Oryctolagus cuniculus: one gene and its partners. The protein of the gene in region 1 purifies or fractionates together with the protein of each later gene. This does not show direct contact. Links are inferred from orthologs where the notes say so. Each region holds a gene or a part of one and is shown in the gene's direction. Other genes may lie near its edges.

What was found. Proteins that work in one complex are often made in the same cells at the same time.
Region 2: the proteins of DCAF6 (region 1) and TNNC2 purify together in Homo sapiens (affinity purification with mass spectrometry; 3 studies listed by BioGRID and IntAct, with this or other methods). This does not show direct contact. The link is inferred for Oryctolagus cuniculus from reciprocal best matches to the Homo sapiens genes DCAF6 and TNNC2.
Region 3: the proteins of DCAF6 (region 1) and CUL4B purify together in Homo sapiens (affinity purification with mass spectrometry; 6 studies listed by BioGRID and IntAct, with this or other methods). This does not show direct contact. The link is inferred for Oryctolagus cuniculus from reciprocal best matches to the Homo sapiens genes DCAF6 and CUL4B.

Annotation. Positions count from the first base shown.
Region 1 is NC_091438.1:30,792,254-30,799,613, reverse strand, and holds the start of DCAF6 (DDB1- and CUL4-associated factor 6), read left to right. Parts: upstream 1-3,416; 5' UTR 3,417-3,760; coding exon 3,761-3,857; intron 3,858-7,360. Other genes in the region: MPC2 (mitochondrial pyruvate carrier 2), read right to left, coding at 2,553-2,661. UniProt on the Homo sapiens protein: Ligand-dependent coactivator of nuclear receptors. Enhance transcriptional activity of the nuclear receptors NR3C1 and AR. May function as a substrate receptor for CUL4-DDB1 E3 ubiquitin-protein ligase complex.
Region 2 is NC_091442.1:13,565,215-13,572,712, forward strand, and holds TNNC2 (troponin C, skeletal muscle), read left to right. Parts: upstream 1-3,477; 5' UTR 3,478-3,532; coding exon 3,533-3,535; intron 3,536-4,818; coding exon 4,819-4,870; intron 4,871-5,028; coding exon 5,029-5,172; intron 5,173-5,258; coding exon 5,259-5,373; intron 5,374-5,525; coding exon 5,526-5,662; intron 5,663-5,817; coding exon 5,818-5,849; 3' UTR 5,850-5,953; downstream 5,954-7,498. UniProt on the Homo sapiens protein: Troponin is the central regulatory protein of striated muscle contraction. Tn consists of three components: Tn-I which is the inhibitor of actomyosin ATPase, Tn-T which contains the binding site for tropomyosin and Tn-C.
Region 3 is NC_091453.1:98,286,373-98,293,970, reverse strand, and holds the start of CUL4B (cullin-4B), read left to right. Parts: upstream 1-3,577; 5' UTR 3,578-3,666; coding exon 3,667-3,772; intron 3,773-4,423; coding exon 4,424-4,963; intron 4,964-7,046; coding exon 7,047-7,162; intron 7,163-7,598.

The DNA of each region.
Region 1 (7,360 bases):
TGACATCAGTTCATGTGAGTTGAGTAACTTGACAAGGACACACATTTACTTAGAATTCTTATTCTTCCTCTACACAGGCAGTTCTTGATGGGCCAAGAACAACACATGGGCAAATGGATGAAGCAGGCCTCAAAATTCTGGGCCACAAGTCAAAGGCTCAAACTACAAGATACTCAAAATTTTTTTACGTATCTACATAGAAATATAACATTTGTAAAAAAAGATTTATTTATTTGAAAGGCAGAGTTACAGAGAGTGGGAGGAGAGAGGGAGGGAGGGAAGAAGAGGGGGAGAGGGAGAGGGAGAGAGAAAGAGAGAGAAATTGATTGATTTTCCATCCACTGGTTCAGTCCCCAAATGGTTGCAGCCAGGAGTCTGAACCCCATCCTGGTCTCCCAAGTGGGTGACAGGAGCTCAAGTACTCTGTTGCTTTCCCAGGCACATTAGCAAGGAGCTGGATGGGACGTGGAGCAGCCAGGATTTAAACTGGTGCTTATACGGGATGCGGCAGCTTAACTTGCTGTGCCACTGCACCAGCCCCCAAAACATATTCTTGTTACCTGTCTAGACATAACTTGTCAGTGATAAAATAAAATCTCAAAAAAAATTTATAAATCAGTAATGTTTGAGTTCTGACCCTTAGTATTTTACCATTCCATATATATATATATATTCTGAGATTTAAAAACATTTATTAGACTCAAAGACCTCCAGCCAGAGTGGCATGGAGGGGGGCTCCAAGAGAGGAAAAAAACCCAAAGGGCCCCGAGGCACTGGGGTTTTTAAGCACAATTTTGAAGGAAAAAAACCTTGACAATGAGGTTGGAGTTCAGTTACTAGGCGGGGAGCATATCCTTTAAAAATGCCTGATAGGTGAATCTAGTCTCAAGTTTAAACAATGATTCAACAGCAAACATTGTTATGTAAAACAGTATGCAAAATCCTTAAATATTCACTCTGGACAACTACTGGAGCAATAATTAGCATTTCCTCAGATTTTACTCAATACCAATGAGTCAGCAGTTATTTTTATCATACTTCTTTATTTAAAAAATTGGAGTGCCTACAACTCTTCAGCATACATAAGTCTGCAGTGAGGAATTAACTTTTGTTGCCAGTGAAAGTGCAAGCATGACAGCCATATCACTGAACCCTTGCGAGAGAGTCCTTAAAAGGTCATAATTATCATCCCCATTTTACAGACTAGAAAACTAAGACTTGGGAATGTAAGGTCAAGGTCACATAGCCAAGACTCAAACCTAGGTCTGTTTGGTTTCTACGCCTGTGTTCCTTCTACCACACTGAAATGGGATTAAAATACCCAGACCAACCCAAGTGTGCCCAGATGAAATGCACACAATCTGCTCTTATTCTGAAAGTGGAGCAAGTGTTCCAAGCAAAAATTACAGGCAGCCACAAGCGAAGCCTTTGGACAAGAACAATGGAGACTACCTTCCCTTTCCCTATTAAGGTGTTCAGAACTGTTTCTCCTCTACCCAGAGCTTAGGAAGGTCGGAGCTAACTCCACACTATTCAGAGGACTCCGTAATGCCCTGATGATTACGAAGCAGAGCCCAATCCTCCCTCTGAAAAACCTTGGCCACAAAACACAGCACTATCCCCCCAAATCGACTGCTATATAAAAAAACTAAGAGGTAAATGAACTTCATTAATCACCATGTCCCCGTGAAGAGCCGTTTTATGGTGTATTTCGTCTTGCAGTAGGCAACATTAAGGGTTAAGCTACGGTCTGAAGGTGTAGTTCACTTCGTTATCTAACTGGAAATCAGACTTAGTAACTAGCTCAGACTCCGGAGGGCGGCTGCGGAGTCAGAGAAGCGGGGGGGACCCCGGACACCGACTGGGGACTATAGATTTACCAAGCAGGGGGGAAAGCCACTTTTGGGGAGGGGGGCACTTCCATCTTCCCATTCAAAACACAGTTTCTCGTGTGCTGAGCTTGGGGGAGACCTCAGGATACAGAGGTCTGAAATAAAGAGCCGGGTGGGCATTATTCGCTCAGCCACGGGCACCCTGTTTCCCACTGGGACAGGAGAGTGAACGCGGAGCGTGGCATTCCCGCATCCACCGCGCAGAGATCTGCCATTCCGCCCAAGGTCACACCTATGGCAAACGGGAAAGGGGACTCACGCCCGGGTCCGACCGGCACACCTGGGGGCAGACTGAGGCACGCGGGCCCACGACCTCTGCTCCGCACCCTGCGGGGCGACACTCCCACACCGCGGCGCGCGGGGCCCACGGCGGCGCGGCGAGGCGAGGCTCTCCCGCGGCTGCCGGCGTGGAGGCGGCCAGATGTGGAGGCCGGGGCCGGGCTGCAGCGGCGCCACAGAGAGAGAGGTCCGGAAGGGCGCCGCCTGCACGCCTCCCGCGGTCGGGGGAGCCGCGGGATGACAGAAGGTGAAACGCAGAGGGCGGACAGGGGCTGGCGCTGCGGGATGTCGCCAGCAGCACAGGTACCGGCGGGTCTCTGAAAGGCGCCTTTTGGAGGGAGGAGAAAAGGTCTCGTGGGGGAGCCAGGCTGGGGCCATTACCTGCCGGGTGGTTGTACAACGGTCTCAGTTTCTCGGGCAGCATCAGCTCCACTTTATCCAGGAGCCGGTGGTAGGTGGCCCGCAGGCCTCGGGCGCCGGCGGCTGACATGTCGGCCGCCGAGTGATCGCGGGCAGCCGGATGGGAGCGTTGCTGTGTCCTCGCTCCTGGCTGACAACGAAGGGCAGCTCGTCCCTCTCCCTTGCCACAGCGCCTCGCGTCCGCTTTCCACCAGGGTGCCCTTCGCCGCGGCTCGCTTGCCCCCGGGCAAACCAGCCAGCGGCCCGCGCCCGGAGAGGGCTCAGGGGGCGGAGGCTGCGGGACAGCCCGCCCAGGCCCGCCTCCTGCCCTCCGCGGAGGGAGCGGGAGGAGGAGTCATGGCAACAGGTGTCAGAGGGATTGCCTCACCGAGGCCGCCCAGCGCCCCGCCGGCAGCGCGCTTGCGCAGGAGGAGCGGCCCGCCGCGATTGGCTCGCCCCGCCGTGTGGGCGGGGCCGAGCGGGCCCCTCCGCCTTCTCCTTCCTGCCCTCGAAGCCATGTTGGAGTAGGGAAAGTGAAGCTGCACTCGCTCTCTCATGCCCCATCGCTCGGACTATTGGAGGCCCGTAGTTAAAATGGGCTTTTCGGGCCTTCCGTGCCCCAACTAAAGATGACGCCGCACATCAGCTCTTGGCTTCCTTTGACCCGAGACGCGTGAACGAGACTACACCTCCCAGCGGCTTCTTTCTCTACTGCTCTTCCATCCATAGAGAATTAAGAGCTTGGCTAGAGTGGCCTGAAGCCCCTTTTCCTGGGTGAGGGCAGCCGTGACGCACCGCGGCCTCAATCTCGGGGGTGGTCGTTATCTCGCGAGAACGGCTGGGCGGGGCGGGCGTTCACAGGAGGAGAGGGCGGAGCCCGGCCGCCGCCGCCTCCGCCTCCGCCTCCGCCTCCTGGGGGAGGGGGGCCGAGGGAGGGGACTGTTGCTGATCTCTGGATGTTCTGGGTAGTCTGAGGAGGAGAGTATGAGGGGAGCTCCGGCCCGGGCGCGGCCGGGCTTCGGGGGCTGAGGCGCCGCTGCCACCGCCGCCGCCATCTGACTCGCTGCGCCCGCGAGCCCCGGCGCGCGGATGGTGCCGGTGCGGCTCGGGTGTTGATCCGCCTGTCCCCTCCCCCCTCTTCCCCTCCCCCACGCGGTGGTCTCCCCTTCGACCCCGGCCCCGGCAGAGCCATGTCTCGGGGCGGCTCCTGCCCACACCTGTTGTGGGATGTGAGGAAAAGGTCCCTCGGGCTGGAGGACCCGTCCCGGCTGCGGAGCCGCTACCTGGGTGAGCGGGGGCCCTGGGGCGGAGGCGCCGAGGTCGCCGCCCCGCGGTGGGGGAGGGGGCGCGCCGCCGGGGCTGTTGGAGGTGGGACAGCCCCTCGGCACGGGCGCCCCCGGGGATCGGGGGTGCGGAGTGGGCCCCCCACCCCCTTAGGCGCGTGCCTCCTGCGGTCGAGCCCCCGCTTGCAAGCTGCCAGCCGCCGCCCTTGCTGGGTTTCGCTGGGGAAGCTCGGGCCGGGGGCAGACGGTAGTGGCCTGGGGAAGGGGTCGCGGTCGCTCGCGGGCTGGGACTCGGGAGCAGCCCCCGGTGGAAGCTGGCGGAGCGCAAAGTTGGCGCCTTCGCTGTTCTGCAGCGCTCTTCCCCGGCTCGGGCGGCGGGACCCAAGTTGTTGCTGCCCACGCTCCTTGCGGGCTCCCGAGGGCTTCGGCGTCGCCCGTCCTCGGACCGCCTGCTCCGGGCAGAGCCGGGCAGAGCCGCGCCGAGCGCTCCCCGCCCCCGCGCGCCTCCCGGGGCCACTTGCACTGGAGTTCGTTTCGACCGCTTTAAGGTGGTGTAGGGTTTCGCGTTCCTGTTCCCACCCCTGGAAAACACACTTGGCATTTACTGTTTCTTAGTTAAGCTTTCTAAAAACAACCTCCAATACTTGAGAGAACGCTATTCCACTTTTTCGGTGCTTGTTTTGGACAGCACGGTGCTGGGAGGATTCTGGGTCGCGCCCGAGTCGACTGGGGAGTCCAGTAGCTTCCAAATGGACTCACTTACAGTGAGGGAGTCTGTTTATTTATGTGTGTGTTTGTTTCTTTTTAAATCTGGGCATAAGGCAAACAACGTCAAATAAGATCTTTTTCTTTCCAATTTTATCACTTCTTGCTAAGTAAAAGTATTTTTTACTGTGTTTGACTTCAAAAGCGAATGGAGAATAGGAGAAAATGAAATCTCACAGCCTGCAGTTCTGTTTTGTCAGTTATTTGAGAGAAATTATCATGTAATGTAAACATCCTTTCTGGTTTGCTGAGTGACATGAGCACGTAAAAAACATGATCAAAATCCCCCTGCGCCCTTCCATTCTGATTTCACACACCTACCCTGCAGGTCATGTCTCTGTTCCCTGAATAATCTTCCAGATCTTGTCCTTTGTATTCTTAAAGCACAGAGAATGTGTGTGTGTGTGTGTGTGACACAGACCTGACCTGAAGGTGTGTGTGTGTGTGTGTGTGTGACACAGACCTGACCTGATGGGGTGTGTGTGTGTGGTGTGTGAGAGAGAGACAGACCTGACCTGATGGGGTGTGTGTGTTTGTGTGTGTGACAGACCTGACCTGATGGGGGGTGTGTGTGTGTGTGTGTGTGTGAGAGACAGACCTGACCTGATGGTGTGTGTGTGTGTGTGAGTGAGACAGACCTGACCTGATGGGGTGTGTGTGTGTGTGTGTGTGTGTGAGACAGACCTGACCTGATGGGGTGTGTGTGTGTGTGTGTGAGAGATAGACCTGACCTGATGGTGTGTGTGTGTGTGTGTGTGTGAGACAGACCTGACCTGATGGGGTGTGTGTGTGTGTGTATCAGGCCTGACCTGATGGTGTGTGTGTGTGTGACAGACCTGACCTGATGGGGTGTGTGTGTGTGTGTGTGTGTGTGTGAGAGAGACAGACCTGACCTGATGGTGTTCTGTTGTAAGCATTGCTTTGCCACTTGCTTTTTTTTTTTTAACACTACATATTAGAGATCCTTCCATGGCAGTAAAAATAGATCCAGTCTTTTTAAGTTATCACAAAGTATAGGATGATGTTTTAAAATGGAATTAAAAAATAATCTTGGTACAGATTTTTTTAAAATTTTTTAAAGATTTATTTGTTTGGCAGAGTTACAGAGGGAACATCCATCCCCAGGTAAATTCCCCAAAAGGCGAAAACTGCCAGGGCTGGGCCAGGCTGAAGCCAGGAGCCAGGAGCTGGGAACTTCTGGATCTCCCACGTGGGTTGCCAGGCCCAAGCACTTGGGCCATCTCACCCTGCTTCCCCGGTGGGTTAGCAGGGAGCTAGATCGGAAGTGGACCACCAGGGACTGGAGCTGGTGCCCATCTGAGAGGACAACACTGCAGAGGGTGCCTTAACCTGAGCGGATTTTTTAAACTAAAAGATTTTTATTATGGTGCAAAATGAAATCCATGGTATGAGGTGTCTTCAGCAACTTCATGAAAAATGCATATTATGAAAAAAGTAACATGGATTTCAAGTTTCTTGTAACAAAATAAACATTTATTTTTGACAGGTTGAGACAGATCTAGCTCCCTTCTGCTGGTTCATTCCCCAAAAGCCCACAGAAGCCCCCGCTGGGTCAGGCCAAAGCCAGGAGTGGGGATTTAATCTAGCTCCTTCTGAGTGGCAACTCTTTGACCTGTGGTCTGCGTTAGTGGGAAGCTGGAACTGGAACTGGAACCCAAGGTGCTTCCATATTGGACACTGGTGTTTTAACTACCAACTCAAATGCCTGCCCAAAGCCTGCCTTTAAAAATAAAATTTCAAGTCCAAGGATTTTAGGCAGTACACACATTTCTTTTTTAAACATTTCAACATTTACATAATGCAATTGCTAAGCATTGTTGGTTAAATGTAATCCTGATGTATTTGTTTGCATTTCTAATAATGAATTACTGCTAAATAACAATACAATTCAGATAGATGAATAGGCAGATTTTCCTGGTAATATTTGCATTTTAAATTTTTTCACCATTAGTATGCATCTTTTGGGTAGTACAGGTTGAGCACCCATAATCTTTTTTTTTAAAGATTTATTTATTTATTTGAAAGTCATTTACACAGAGAGGAGAGGCAGAGAGAGAGAGAAAGAGAGAGAGAGGTCTTCCATCTGCTGGTTCACTCCCCAATTGGCTGCAACACCTGAGCTGCACCGATCTGAAGCCAGGAGCTTCTTCCGGCTCTCCCTCATGGGTGCAGGGACCCAAGGACTTGGGCCATCTTCTACTGCCTTCCCAGGCCGTAGCAGAGAGCTGGATTGGAAGTGGAGCAACCAGGACTAGAACAAACACCCATATGGGATGCCTGCGCTTCAGGCCAGGGTGTTAACCCGCTAAACCAGCCCTGGCCCTACCCCTAATCTTTAAATCCGAAATGTTCTAGAATCTGATAGTGTGTGTGATATTGATGCTCAGAAATTTTCCTTAGATTTTGGATTAGGGATACTCAGTGGGTAAAGCATGTTCCAGAATTCGAAAAACTGAAATTGGAAACACTGTTGGTCCTAAGCATTTCAGATAAGGATGTGCAGTTCACGATTTGTAATTGATTTTACTTAAATTGATTAAATACTTTCTTTTACATCAAACAAAATTATGGTTTATAAAATATCTTTTCATGTTGTGGGAAAGGATTTGAATAGTTTGTCATTTACCAGAAAGATGTATGTGTTTACTTACAACTCTGAAATTTACAAGATTCACCCTTTCTGGTGTTATTTTGGACTAGCATGGATTTAGAAGCTAGGCT
Region 2 (7,498 bases), on another chromosome or scaffold:
GCACTGCAGGTGGCTTTACCCGCTATGCCACAGCGCCGGTCCCCTCTAAGCACTTTCTGTGCTGCCGCAGCCCCTGCCCTCACAGCCTCCTAGGGAGGGGCTTTTCTTGGCTGATAATAGTCCATTTTCAAGGGGAGGAAACAGGCCCACTGACTTCCCCAAGAGCCACAGCTCGGAAATAGGGGAGCTGGAGTTAAGCTTGAGAAACGTCAAAGCGCTAACTATGCGCAGCTTGGAGTCAGGGTGCTGGGGCAAAAAGACAGCTTCACTCATTCGCTCTCATTGACCAACCGCTGACTGAGCAGTCCTTTGTTGTGTGCCTGTCAAGGCTGGGTGCACAGCCGGGGTCTGAGCCATGGGCTGGGGCAGGGGCCGTGGTGCAGCTGGAGAAGTCACCACTGCAGGTGCCCGCGATCCCTTACCGAGTGCCGGTTCCGATCCTGGTTCCTGCTAGAGCGACCTGGAAGGCGGCAGATGGTGGCTCCAGTGCTCGGGCCCCTGCCACCCACCGGGGGAGACCCGCGTGGAGTTCCAGGCTGCTGGCTTCAGCCCGGCCCAGGCCTGGCTGTGGTGAGCGTTTGGGGAAGGAACCAGCAGATGGAGATCTCTGTCTCTCTGCGTCATTCTGCCTTTCAGTTGGAGAGAGTGAATGAAGTCCTGGATTGTTAGAGCAGGAGGGAGCCTCAGGAACCTGAGGCCTGTGCCAGGCCACAGCGTCAGAACTAGGAGAGCTTCTCTTTCTCTCTCTCTCTCTCTTTTTTTTTTTTTTTTTAAATTTTTTTAAGTGCTAGACTCAAGCCTCAGCAAGGCAAATCTGAGTCTCTCTCACTCTCTTTATTTTTATTTTTATTTTTATTAATTTGACAGGTAGAGTTATAGACAATGAGAGAGAGACAGAGAGATAGGTCTTCCTTCCATTGGTTCACTCCCTAAATGGCTGCTAAGGCTGGCCAGGAGCCAGGTGCTTTCTCCTGGTCTCCCATGTGGGTGCCGGGCCCTAGCACTTGGGTCATCCTCCACTGCACTCCCGGGCCACAGCAGAGAGCTGGACTGGAAGAGGAGCAACTGGGACTAGAACCTGGCGCCCATATGGGATGCTGGTGCCACAGGCGGAGGATTAACCAAGTGAGCCACAGCGCCGACCCCTCTTTTTAAATTAAAAAAAAAAAAGATTAATGAATTTATTTACTTATTTGAAAGGGAGGGAGGGGAAGGGGGGAGAGAGAGAGAGAGAGAGAGAATCTTTCCACTGGTTCCCAGGGCCAAGCAGAAGCCAGGAACTCCATCTCTGTCTCCCACCTGGATGACAGGACCCCAAGCACTTGGGCCATCTTCCGCTGCTTTCCTGGGTGCATTAGTAGGAAACTGGATCAGAAGTGGAGAAGCGAGGGCTGGAACAGGCACTGGCTATGGATGCCGGCGGGCAAGCGGTGACTTAACCGCAGGCCTCCCCTCTAGGCCGTCTCCTGATGCGCTGTGTTCTCCAGCATTCTTGGACTCTGGGTGCATGTTTCTCCCCGAGAGATGACCGCCTACCTTCTGTGTGGGTAGCCTTGCTGGCAGGAAGCTCAATACCTCTTGAGGCCATCTTTGTCCATTAATGGTCAACCGTGACTGCTTGGAAGTTTCCTCATATTGAATCAGATGCCTTTCGGCTCACTTACTCCTATGTAAAGTCCATTTTTATTGAACACCTGCTAAGTGCCTACAGTTGAGTGCTGGGCAAGTGATGGTGATCAGCCAGGGTCTCTGGTCTGTGGAACTCAGGACAGGTGGTGATTACCAAGCATGTTCTGTGCTATGATTAGGAAATGACTGGAGACCACTGTAGACTCTCGGAGCCAGGCTGTAGGGGAAGAAGAACCCTGCAGGAAGTTTTGTCAAGGCCAAGAGCAGCAACAGCCAAGCGGACAGATGAAGAGAGGGAAAAATGAGAGCTTCTGGCAGGAAAAACAAAAACAAAAACAAAAAAAACCAGCATGGCCAGGGCTGCTGGTTTATCAAGGATGGTGTTTGGGGCAGTGTTTGAGCACTTAAGGGTGGGGAGGGGGGACGAGTTGTGATTAGAGGGGCGGATAGGAGCTTCCACGCTAAGGAGTCTGCACTTTGTCTATTTCCCTGAAGAAATGGAGGAACAAATTATGAACAAGTGATTGCTGTTCGACTCTCTGTTCTAAGAGGACCAAGTGCTTCCCGTGTGTCCCGACTGGGATCCCCTGGCTATCACCCCTCGGCCCTCTGCCTGGCTGGGGGAAGCCTTATTTAGCCCGGCCTGGCGCTGCTGAGCTTTCCTTGGGAATGTCTATGTGTAGGGGGAGGGGCGGCCCAGTTGCCACTGTCCATCTGCCCTCCTTGGTGTCCAGCCCCCATTGCCTGGCTCCCACACCGCCCTCGGTTGTCCTAGTGCTTTCTGGTGATTTCTGGTCACATGGCCATATGACCGTGAGCCTTGTCTGCTCCCCAGCACCCAGCCTAGGCTCTGGCCTCTCAGAGTGGGTGGGCTTGCCTTGGACTTCACCTGCCGGGGACCAGACTTCACTGCCCCTTTGCCTTCTGCCTAACCCACTGCCCAAGTCAGCGGATCACAGACACCCTTTTCCTGGGGCGGGGACTCTGAGAGAGCACTCTGCTTTGGATGCCTCCTCCTCCTCCGAGGGCTCCTCTATTCCTCTGGACGGTTCTCCTGGGTGGGCTCCCCCAAGTCGGGATTAACAGGAATCATCAACAGGACTACGGCTTTTATGATTCACAAAAATTAGCCCCAGTGAAATGGGGATAATAATAGCTGCTACCTCATAGGACGCACACCAGGCGAGATCCTGTGGTTGAAATGTCTGGCCCAGTGTGGCCCATCCTGGAGGTTCAACCAGTGGTGCCTAAGTACCGCTTTCCCCTCCTGAGCCCTGCCCCTCACTGTAGTTCGGAGACAGGACATTGTACTTGCCAAGCACCCACCCTGTGGGTCTGGCACAAGCTAGATGACTTAGAGACCTGAGCATCCTTCTGCCATGGTCTGACTGCCATGTCACCAATGAGGATACTGGGCTCAGAGCGGCTGCTTTACCCGCCCAAGGTCACACACCTTGCCGAGGCAGGGACCTGGACCTTGGGACTTCAAGGCTTGTGCTGTTCCCGTTCTACCATGCTGCGTCACTTGTCACTGTTCCGATCCTCCTCCTCCATCTTGGAGCCAGTGTGCTTCCTGGGGTGGGGGGTGGGGCTCTAAGGCGGCGGAGCAGGGTGGGGCCTCCTCCCAAGAATCTGGGACGTCAAGGCTTGCCACCTGCTCAGGGGCTTAAATTTCTCTGCAAGGGCCCTTGGCTAAATTAGGTAATGGGCTAGGACTCTGGGAGGGGTGGGGCTTGCTGACCCCAGGATCTGATTGGGCAGGGTATCCATTCCTGGGGAGCAGGGGGGTGGGAGGACAGGATGCCCCTACAAATCCCGGGGGCTGGAGTGGGCCACTGCGTCTGTGCGTGGTGGAGTTCAGGGGAGGCGGCTCACGGCAGGGGTGGCCCAGTGACCAGCAACCATGGTAAGGACATGAAGGGACTCTGCTCTGCTGGCTGGGGGCACTTCTAGACCTCTTTCAAGCAGATCTGGGTGTTCTGTGGGGTGGGAACTTAGATGCTTGATGGGGGGCGAGAAGGTTGTGGAACACAGGTGTTCAGAGGAAGCCTGGGAAGTCCTTTGACTTCTCTTGGTTGGGGAGGGCTGGATGTCCCAGGGATTGGTCCTGCGGCCACTGTGCTGCCCACTGCGGAGGCTTCCAGCAGTGCTAGGCACAGAGCTCCGGGAGGTCTTATCCCATCTCCTTTATGGTGGTGACAGACCCCCAGGGGCTGCAGTGAGTTCCCCAGGGAGCCAGTGGTGGGGGGTGGGGGATGGGCTGGAAGCCTGGCCAAACCCTCCTGCTGTCAGTGAGAGAAGAAAGCCAGCTCCTAGGAAGATGGGAGGCCCACAGGGCCCCACGCCAACTCCAAGAGCCCTGAGGATGACGGAAGGGGCAGGAGACAGCAGTCGGAGGGACCCCCACCTCCCCGGGAGGGGTTTTGATTTGGGACTGAGGTTCCCCCTCCAGAGATCACTTCAAGGAGTAACTGGACCCCAGAGGCCAGCTGCTGCTGCCCATGCCCTGCTAAAAATAGCCTGCCCTCCTGGCACAGGCGGAGAGGAGGGCAAGAAAGAGGGGGAGAAACAGGAGGCCCAGGGCCAGGGCCCAGAACTGCTTGTCCATCTCACCCCTGCCTCACTGCCAGCCCCAGACTAGAGCCCCCAACCCGGATGGCCTGGCCCGGATGGGTCGTGGACGGCTCATTTTCACGCCACCCTCCGCCTAGCCTGAGGGCCGTGCACTCCAATGCCTGCTTGGCACCTCCACGCATGTGCCCCTGTCAGCCGGGGGTCCCCGTGTCTGGGCTGTGGCCTGACACTTAGCTAGTGCTCAGTACTCTGGGTTGCGTCATTACTGCACCCTGGAGCGGTGCAGGTACCTTGCAAAGCCCCTTTCCCGCCTCCGATTTCATCTCAGCCCCGAAAAGCCACTGAGAGGAGACCAGGGCGTGACCTGCGGCTTCCCCAAAGTCCCCAGGGGGCAGGGTGTGTGTTGGGGGGCTGGGTTGTGCCTGACTTGGCCCTACAAGTATTGCCGAATGAGGACCTCTGACCTAATCTGGGTCTCCGCTCTTGTCAGGTGCCGTGGGGACACACAGGTGGGACAGGTTTCCTGACGGAGGAGGGCGCTACACAGGGCGGGGTCGAGGTGGGACTGGGTGAGCAGGGTGGTCCTCCTGTGCTCTGACCCTGTGTCTCCTGCAGACGGACCAGCAGGCTGAGGCCCGGTCCTACCTCAGCGAGGAGATGATCGCTGGTGAGTGCAGGGTGGGGTGAGGGTGTGTGTGCAAGGGGGCGTGTGGGAGGGTGACATGTGCCAGGGCACATGTGTGGGGTCTGGGCAGCAGTGGGGGTGGGTGTGAGCCTGGCAGGCCAGCCCACCTCACCTCAGCTCTCCCCTCCACCCCCCTGCAGAGTTCAAGGCCGCCTTCGACATGTTTGATGCTGATGGCGGTGGTGACATCAGCGTCAAGGAGTTGGGCACAGTCATGAGGATGCTGGGCCAGACACCCACCAAAGAGGAGCTGGACGCCATCATCGAGGAGGTGGATGAGGATGGTGAGCGGGCAGCCCCGCCCAGGTCAGGGCCGCGGGGGCGCGAGGTGGGCCCGGGGCGGCGCTCAGTGCCTGCCCTGCGCCCGCAGGCAGCGGCACCATCGACTTCGAGGAGTTCTTGGTCATGATGGTGCGCCAGATGAAAGAGGACGCCAAGGGCAAGAGCGAGGAGGAGCTGGCCGAGTGCTTCCGCATCTTCGACAGGTGCGCGGGGTGGGGGAGCGCGGGGCGCGCGGGGCGGGGGGGCTCTCCCACGGGCACAGCACGGGAATGCCTGGGGGGTGCGGGTGCGCGAGGGGCGCGTGCAGCGACGCCCGGGCAGCTGCTGAGCCCTGTCCCGGCCCTCGGCCCCGAAGGAACGCAGACGGCTACATCGACGCCGAGGAGCTGGCTGAGATTTTCAGGGCCTCTGGGGAGCACGTGACGGACGAGGAGATCGAATCCCTGATGAAGGACGGGGACAAGAACAACGACGGCCGCATTGACTTCGACGGTGAGCGCCCGGCAGTCGCGGGCCGGCGTCGGGGGCGTGGCAGGCCTCGGCCCCGCGGGTGGGGCTGGGCGTGGACCGAGCGGAGCCGCCCCCAGCCCCCGCGGGCGGGCGGGTGGGCAGTGCTGGCGCTGAGCCTCGCCCTTGCTTTCCTGCAGAGTTCCTGAAGATGATGGAGGGCGTGCAGTAAGGCTGGGGTCTCAGCCTCGGCCCCGCCGGCTCGTTCCCTGCCCCGCGCAGGGGGCGCGGCCCCTTCTGGCTCCGTGTCTGGAAGGAATAAAAGCAAACGTTGCCAAGCTCATGGCCTGAGTGAGGGGCGGGCCGGGGCTGCGGGGAGCGGGATGCGGCGGGGGCCACGGGGGGCTTCGGGCCGAGGGAGAGGGGGTGGAGCCCCCTGCCTGCCCCATCGCCCATGCGTTCCCGAGCCTCTGAGCGTGGGTGTCAGGCTCGCCGTCGTGGGCCGGCTCCCGGGCCGGGAGCGGGGCGACGGCAGCGTTTTCTGCGAGCCCGCTCGGTCTGGTCCGTTCTTCCAGCGCTTGCGGGGCACCCGGCGCTGGCAGCGGAGAGGGGGCAGCAGCTCCTCCCCGGGGGGCCCCCGCCACGGGCCGACCGCCGACCGCGAGAACCAGCTCCCGGGAACCTGACCGGGCCGCGCCCCCGCTGAACGTCCTGCAGGACCCCTCGGGGCCTCCAGAATCCAATCCAGATGCCTCGCTCTGGGCTCCCTCACTCCTCCCGCCGCCGCTCCTGCGTTTGCCGGCCTCTGGGCCCTTGCACGCTGCTGTTCCCGCTCCCTGCAATGCTCTTCCCCTTATGATCCTGGCAAATTCTTCAACCCACGAGGCCCAACGCGGAGACCATCTCCCCCCTTGATCCCTGCACCCACAAGCTGCAGATCTGGCTCCCATGGTGCTTTGCACACAATTCTGCATAGCAGGGATCAGGTCGTAGCTAATTGAGTGTAGTAGTTGTTGAACTTTAGAGTCAGGCTCTCTGAATTTGTATCCTCACAGTAAACGACTTGGGACCTCAGTATTTTTATCCGTAAAATGGGGCAATGATCATACTTACCTTAGAGGGTTTCAAGAACAAGTTGGTATGTGCAAGGTGCTTAGAACAGTGCCAGGCACACAGCAAGTGTTTAATTAATGCTGTCCACCATTATCCTCCTCCTCCTCCCTGAAACTCTGTCCTGTTTTTTGTCTTTTTTTTTTTTTTAAAGATTTATTTATTTGAAAGAGTTACACAGAGAGAAGGAGAGGTAGAGACAGAGAGAGGTCTTCCCTCCATTGGTTCACTCCCCAAATGGCCGCAATGGCCGGAGCTGCGTTGATCCAAAGCCAGGAGCCAGGAGCTTCTTCCGGGTCTCCTATGTGTGTGCAGGGGCCCAAGGACTTGGACCATCTTCTACTGCTTTCCCAGGCCACAGCAGAGAGCTGGATCGGAAGAGGAGCAGCCAGGACTCGAACCGGTGCCCACATGGGATACCGGCGCTTCAGGCCAGGGCGTTAACGTGCTGTGCCACAGGGCCGGCCCCTGTCCTGCTGTTTTACGCATTGCTACCTGCCACTCCCTCCATCTTGGACCTAGTCTCTGCTTTGTCCTGTTGCTGATTTCCCGGTTTGCTGTTCCAGCCAGGGTTGGTGCTGGGATTCCAGCACCGTCATGGCTGTGCCTTGTGCCTTATGCACTTGGTCTGGGTCATCCACACGGCGCATCCAGAGGCAGATGCTGCTCTTATCCCCGTTTTGCAGTTGTGGGAACTCAGGCCCAGGGAGGTGAAGTAGAGCAGCCCACAGATAACAGCCTGGATGGGGCCCAGCACAGGGACTCTGGTGC
Region 3 (7,598 bases), on another chromosome or scaffold:
TAGCAAGCAGTCTCACCTATTTTGAAGGAAAATTCCACTCATTGGATAAGGCTTCCAAGAATGTCTATCCAATGACTCCCCTGCTATGAGATGTCTGGAGGGGACCTAAAAGCAAGCACCTTGAGAGAACTCTGTGACCAGAAGTGGGAAACAGGTTATATACACAGCCTTTTTAGGAATATTCCTATAGGAATACAGGACTGAGTATTTAGATAAACTAGTCCTCTGTTTTCATTATTTTTTTCTTTTATGCATATATTTACCTTCATAGTAGAAGTTAAAAGAAGCCAATAATAACTACACCTCATCTGGTGGTATTATAAAGTTTAATTAATGTTTCTAAGGTATGAGTTGAACTCACAAGATGAAAGATTCTTTTTTTTTTTTTTTTTTTTTTTTTTTTTTTTACAGGCAGAGTGGACAGTGAGAGAGAGAGACAGAGAGAGAAAGGTCTTCCTTTGCCGCTGGTTCACCCTCCAATGGCCGCCGCTGCAGCCGGCGCACCGCGCTGATCCTGGCAGGAGCCAGGAGCCAGGTGCTTTTCCTGGTCTCCCATGGGGTGCAGGGCCCAAGCACCTGGGCCGTCCTCCACTGCACTCCCTGGCCATAGCAGAGAGCTGGCCTGGAAGAGGGGCAACCGGGACAGAATCCGGCGCCCCAACCGGGACTAGAACCCGGTGTGCCGGCGCCGCAAGGTGGAGGATTAGCCTATTGAGCCACGGCGCCAGCTCGAAAGATTCTATATATGGAACATGTGTTGAGTGCCCAATCTGATTTAGTCTGATAATGGCTATAACTGTATGGTGTCCCACATTATACATCTTGATTATAGTGAGTTCAACCTTGAAAAATGTATTTTAATATTGAGAATGTGTTTAACATTGTTTGGCAATGTTTGGGTGTACAGAATATAAACTTACAACTAGCTACAAATAGTTGATTCTTGATGTAAAAAATCTTTACAAAGTAACATGGGAGGTTTTTTTTGTCCTTTAGAAATTGGCCCGAGGGCCCAAGAAAAAGCAAAATTTCAGTTCTCACAAATTGCATAGAAATAATCTAAGATGGTCGGTGTCATAAAATGTAAAAGTATTAAAATTACCTATCTGAGGATTGACCTGGTTCAAAATAAAATGAGTTTGTAAAATGACAAAGGGAGATTATTATTAATCATTTAGGAAAAAAGAAAAATTACTTTTTCCACAAAATCCAATGCTGTTTTATGGAGAACTTAAATAGTAGGTTAGACCACTGGGCCATTCAAGTGAGCCAGAGCTCAAGAGCCAAGGATTTGTGCTCATAAAACTAAGATGTAACTCAGAAGACTGAAGGCTTAGATAACCATGTGAGATTGGGAGCCATTATTACTAGAATGTAGTTGAATATAAATAGACCTCAAATATCCCTCAAGTTAGTATAAAAGTTTATCTTTGTATGACAAAAGCAGCTTTCTCTTATCTTTATGTCCATTCCCTTTCAGCACTGATACTCATAATTTTAAAATACCAAGCATTTCTCTAGACCTAAGGAATTTACATAAACTAGAATAACCTTGTCCCTTACACACAGCATTATTTTATCCTCATTCAGTGAAACAGTCAATTCAGTAAGTTTCTATTTTTCATTTACAAGGTTATTCAGCATTGTCTGAAATGTGAGACACAGCAAAGGCTTAATGTTTTAGGACACCTTCCCTGGCCTTCAAAGCTTACCATCTCATTTTGGGCAGCAAAACAGTATGGTGTATTTGAAAGTGCTTCCATCTGCCCCCTTTCAGGGTTTTTTTCCTCCCTTCCTAGGCCCTGGGGCCAAAATTCCTTTAGAGCCTGTTTTCAGCAAGCTATCCTGGAACAGTACAAAGATACTGGCTGATAATGCTCAAGGAACTCCCTTTCCAGGAGAATCTACAAGGACTTTTCAAGACCAAAAAGGGGGGGGGGGAGTGTTTAAAGAAAGTTACAAAGTTGATTTATGTGGTATGGCCTGATTCACCAATCAGGCCATACCACACAATCTGCTTTTACTACTCCTATAATCTTGCCACTCCCTTGTTTTAAAAGCCCAGTTTGCTTGTCTCATGCTATCTAACATAACCTACAGGATAGATTCCAAAATTCTTGGCTTGGTTTACTAGGCACTTTTGAGCCTCATCTTTCTTAGTCCCAACCAGACATCCTGTTTTCCAGTCTCACTGCAGTTGCCATGTTTCCATAAACATGCCAGGCCCTTTCACAACTCCCTGCTTTGTGCATGTTTCCACTGCCCAGAATGCCTTTCACTCTCTTCCTTGTCTTATTGGCAGCTCCCACTTTGAGACTCAGCACAAATGTGTCTCTCAAACTCCCTGATTTTTCCAGAGTTCCTTCAAATTTCTTGTTTTGCCTCTTGCCACAGCACTTTGTACATTTGTTAAAAGTACTTTTATGGACATTAATTTTGAAACTAGAAGAGTACTTAAAAAATTTATGGAAAATGCATACTATGTGGAAACCATTCATGAATTTTGAAATTTTTCTGTTTGCCCAAATAAATTTATCTTTTAATCCCATTTTTTTTATGAGCTTTGTGTAGTACCCTTCTGTCTTCCCCCACTGGCTTCTCAATGGCAGGGACTTGGCATAGTGTCTGGCACATAAAGTCTCCGGATACATGTTCATTAAAAGTTTCTGTAGTTAGATCAACAGGTTGAAAAAATTATTGTTTGCTCCCCCTGAGAGTGTTCTACGGTTAAAAACTACCTTAGGGAACTTACAGGGTTTGTTATTGTTAATTTAACCAAACATCAAGTTTTGTTTGATCGGCGATCAAATTTAAAGTTTTTGCTCCTGGAATACATTAGTAGAAAACATGACTTTTGCCAATATTGTTCTCCTAAAATGTCTCCTTTGAAACACTGTAGAAGCTGAGACTTCATCAAAGGAAGTAGGTCTTAGCTTTTTGTTTGGTCTATAAATTACTGAATTCATGGCTGATGAAGTCGGGATAGCATGTGGTTCCAAGAATTGCACTGGGTCAGGACTTAGCTACCTTCCTATTTCTTTGCCTTAGAATACACCCTTGGCTCTGGCCAGCCATCTTAGAAAATGCTCCTGGTAAGAAGTAAAAGAACTTACACATACGCTATTGAGAAAAGTATCAAAACTCTGGCTCTATTCAATTTTGGCTCTGTGGTGTCCTTGACATAAATAATTTATAGCTACACTGAATCAAATTCTTTTTCTATGTAAGCTCCTTTTCTTCTAACAATATTGTAACATCAGTAGGCATAATGACAAGATTTGTTTTCTTCCATTTCGGGTTAGTCTCTTCGCCTGGCAACCCCTCCTAATTCCTTTATCTCTTTCAAAGTTTCCATTCTCTCCTTCCCTTACTTTTTACTCCTTCCCTCCCTCTCCCTTCCTCTTCCGCCTCCCCCTTTTTCCCAGCTAGCTTACCCCGCCCCTCACCGTCACCACCTTCCCTCCCCTTCAGGATCCTTCCCGCTCCTTCTCCCGTCACCCCCCACCGTGGCCGCCCGCCTCGCGTTCATAAAGCGCCAATCAGAAGCCCCGAAGGTGTTTCGAAGGCCCGCCCCCTCCTCCCTCTCCACTTCTCTTCCCCCCCTTTGCTCCCTCCCCACCCCCCACTCAAGTCCTGCGGACTCGGGGGCTTCGGGAGCTGGGCGCTATGAAAAGTGTCTGCCCAGTCACTTCCGGTAAGAACGCCGCGGCGCAAAGCTCCCCGCGGGACCGTTACGGAGGGATGGGAGTTACCGATGGGCCGGAGGAGGGAGGTACTGCCGGGGAAGGGAAGAGGGAGCGAGAGCCGGAGCAGAGTAGTGCGAGCCTCTGAGGCGCTTCAGCTGCCCCTGTCCCGCCATCCCGCTGTGCGCCAGCTCCCCTGCCCCCCTGGGCGGCTGCGGTGCTCTTCTCCAACCCCCACTCCGGGGACAGACGCCGCCCCTCCTTCGGCGCCGCGTGACCGGAAGTGGCGCCATCTTTAGCCTCTTGTGCTATTGACAATAACAAGCCCTGGGTCTCTTCTCCCCCTCCCCCCCCACCACCACAGCGTCTCCCCTCCCAGAGAGAGGGAGAAAAGGAGGAGGAGCTACAGCCTCAGACTCAGACTCGCTCCTGCAGAAACGGGGGGGAGAGAGCTCGAAAAGCAGGGGAGGGGGACGGCACGGCCGTTTACCTGTCTGCCGCTTCATTCACTCTCCCCCCTCGTTCTGCTCACTCCTGGTGTCAGCCTATCCGCCTTCCCAAACCCTCCCATTTCCCCGGTGTAGCCCCCCCTTCACTTTCCTGCTCGTCCTCTGTGTTTCTCCTCTCTTCCCTTCCCCCTCTAGCATTGCCACCTTCTCCTACACGCACGCAGGCATATAAACTGTAGGTTTTTGATGCTCCTCTGCCTGTTGACCCCGCTATTTTCATGTTTCCAACAGGTTTTTCTTCCCCCAATCCCTCAGCTGCTGCTGCTGCTCAGGAGGTCAGATCTGCCACTGATGGTAATACCAGCACCACTCCGCCCACCTCTGCCAAGAAGAGAAAGTTAAACAGCAGCAGCAGTAGCGGCAGTAACAGTAGTAACGAGAGAGAAGACTTTGATTCCACCTCTTCCTCCTCTTCCACTCCTCCTTTACAACCCAGGGATTCGGCATCCCCTTCAACCTCGTCCTTCTGCCTGGGGGTTTCGGTGGCTACTTCCAGCCACGTACCGATACAGAAGAAGCTGCGTTTTGAAGACACCCTGGAGTTTGTAGGGTTTGATGCGAAGATGGCTGAGGAATCCTCCTCCTCCTCCTCCTCATCTTCACCAACTGCTGCAACATCTCAGCAGCAGCAACTTAAAAATAAGAGTATATTAATCTCTTCTGTGGCTTCGGTGCATCATGCAAACGGCCTAGCCAAATCTACCACCGTCTCTAGCTTTGCTAACAGCAAGCCTGGCTCTGCTAAGAAGTTAGTGATCAAGAACTTTAAAGGTAACCAAAGCCAAAATTCATAATCACCTACTAAAGATTTGACACTTCAGCGGTCACGTGCTCTATTTATGTTACTATATTAAAGAGCATAGAGGTAGCTAATGTTTTATGCGTAATTAATGAGGTGGAGGGGAGGTCCTTTTTTTGGTGGAGGGTTCATTTGCCAGGGGGGTGGTTAGGAACCTTGTGCTGAGGCATACACCCCGTGTTTCTGTGCAGTATTTTGAGGTTTTCCTCAACCTGTTATATTTAATTTGTTGTCCCTTATAACATTGGGTATCTACAGTATGATTGATCCGGATTTTACAGGTGAGAAATTTATGTTCTAAAGAGGTTTGTTTATTTCAGGTGCATAGTGAGCCTTGGCACTGCTGGGATTTGTATTTTTGTGCTTCAGTAGGCCACATTATCCAGTCCCCAGAAAAGCAGGTAGCAATGGTGATCTTTCCATGCTCAAATAGGACTTAGATTGTTGAATACTGTATTTATGAAACTCATTGCAGAAGCAGTATTCAGAGAAAATATTTATGGTCTCTACATATCTTACCAAAGATAGGGGTTAGAATTGAAAAATACTGGGTATACACAGAAGTTGTAACTCTGTGTACCACTAGTCTAAAGATAGGTACAGTTACTACATCTATTTTTTTTATCACTAAAACGAGTTTTAAAGTATTGCCCTAAAGCTTTTAGGAAAATTTGTTAATATTGTCTTTGATAGGTGATTGAAAGTATTATGAACGCATTGATGCTAATACAAAATCAAGTTTTAAAAAAAATGTATTCAGCTGAATTAATTTGTATCTGTTGAATGTGTTCTATTTTTCTGGCTCACTTATTCAACACCTTTAACTGGCAGGTAATAAGTGCAAAAATGATTATTAAATGGAGAAGTAAATGAATGAACTTAAGTAATATTTACTGCATAAGTGCCTTGGGGCTTAATACTAGTATCGGAAAAATTAGGTGTTCACTATCTGTATTTTCAACATTAGTGTAAAAATAAAGAATATACTCTTTTATTTCAAGCAGAGAGATATGGTGTTGTTTATTTTTAACCCTTTCTTTTTATATCACTTCTCTCCCATTTGCAGACTCTTGAAGAGTGTTATATTCTGACTTAAGAGTAAAGCTTTCTGCTTTCTGAAGTGAATATGAATTGTAATTGACTAATGTGTTCATTATTTAGCTGAAATATTTTGCTTAATAGCCAAGATTTTTATAAGAAGTGAGCTGTGATCCTAATTGCTTCTGAAAATTGATTTAAGAAATTTTGTTTTTTTCTTCCTCCAAAAAAATTAAAACACATTATTAAGGCATTTCAATGCTTTAATTAAAAGTTTTTTTCCACTCATTGATGGCCAGTGAAGTGTAAAAGCCTAGCATTTCAGTGTTTCTTTCTATTTAGAAAATGCTGCATAGTTTCTGGAGTCATTTGGATATTTGAATTTCTTTTAAAATTTCATTCTACTCATAAATGTAGTTTAAAACCTGAGTTAAAATGTTTTTCTCCATTTCTGTAGTTTCTGCATAAATTTGGGGATCAAAAAGACCAGGATTAGAATGCCAGACTTGCCGTTGACTAGTTACAGTGACCTTGGGCAAACTTACCAAATGCTTTCCATCCTTGGATTCCTCAGTTTTGATACTTAGCCTAGGGCATTGTTAGGATGGTAAAGGGGTTTATAAAATTCCTTGCACATAGTAGACATACAATATTTTAAATCTCAGGTACAAAATTCATGTTGACTTAGGTTTTACACATGATGAAATAAGGTCAGGATTGTTACTTTTTATCTGTCATTCTTGAATTTTTATTTTTTGAAGCAATACGTTCAGTAGGAGAAAAAAACCCTCACCTTCAGTTTTAATAGGTGAGTTAAAGTGACCAATAAAATTTGAAATATTAGAATACTGTTTCTTTATACTGAGCTCTTAATACAGTGGTTGCTTTAACATTTAAGTGTAATAGTTATAAAGATCACAGTTTACTTTAAAAACAGTAATGTAATTGTATTTTGTGGACCTTCAGTTGCTATATTCTATATGTTGTTTTAATGCCAACCTTTTATATATCATCTAGATAAGCCTAAATTACCAGAAAACTACACAGATGAAACTTGGCAGAAACTGAAAGAAGCAGTGGAAGCTATTCAGAATAGTACTTCAATTAAGTACAATTTAGAAGAACTCTACCAGGTATGTATTAATGTGATAACTAGATTTCATTAACATAAATTGAGGTGAGATAATTTGGATTTACTTTCTGAAATAGGGCCTTAAATACACTTTTGCCTCTTTTCTAATTACAATTTCTTGATGCACTCCTTTTTACAATCAGACCATATACTCATAAACTGAGTACAGTCATATTGGTTATAAGCCCACCTTATAGTATGAGTGGTATAAATTGAACTTATACCAGTATGACCTGGACACTCCTAATTAAGTTTCAGTTTGGTACACGTTGATATAATTGACATTTTTACCCATAATGGAATCTTGTAGGGTAGATCCCAAAGTGATTTCTGGAGACCTGTCACTCTTCTGTTATGATAATTCTTGCTTAGTTGTTTCTCTCTTTTAAGAAAAGCCTCAAGACATGCAGATGTCCTTCACATCCTTTAGTCTACCT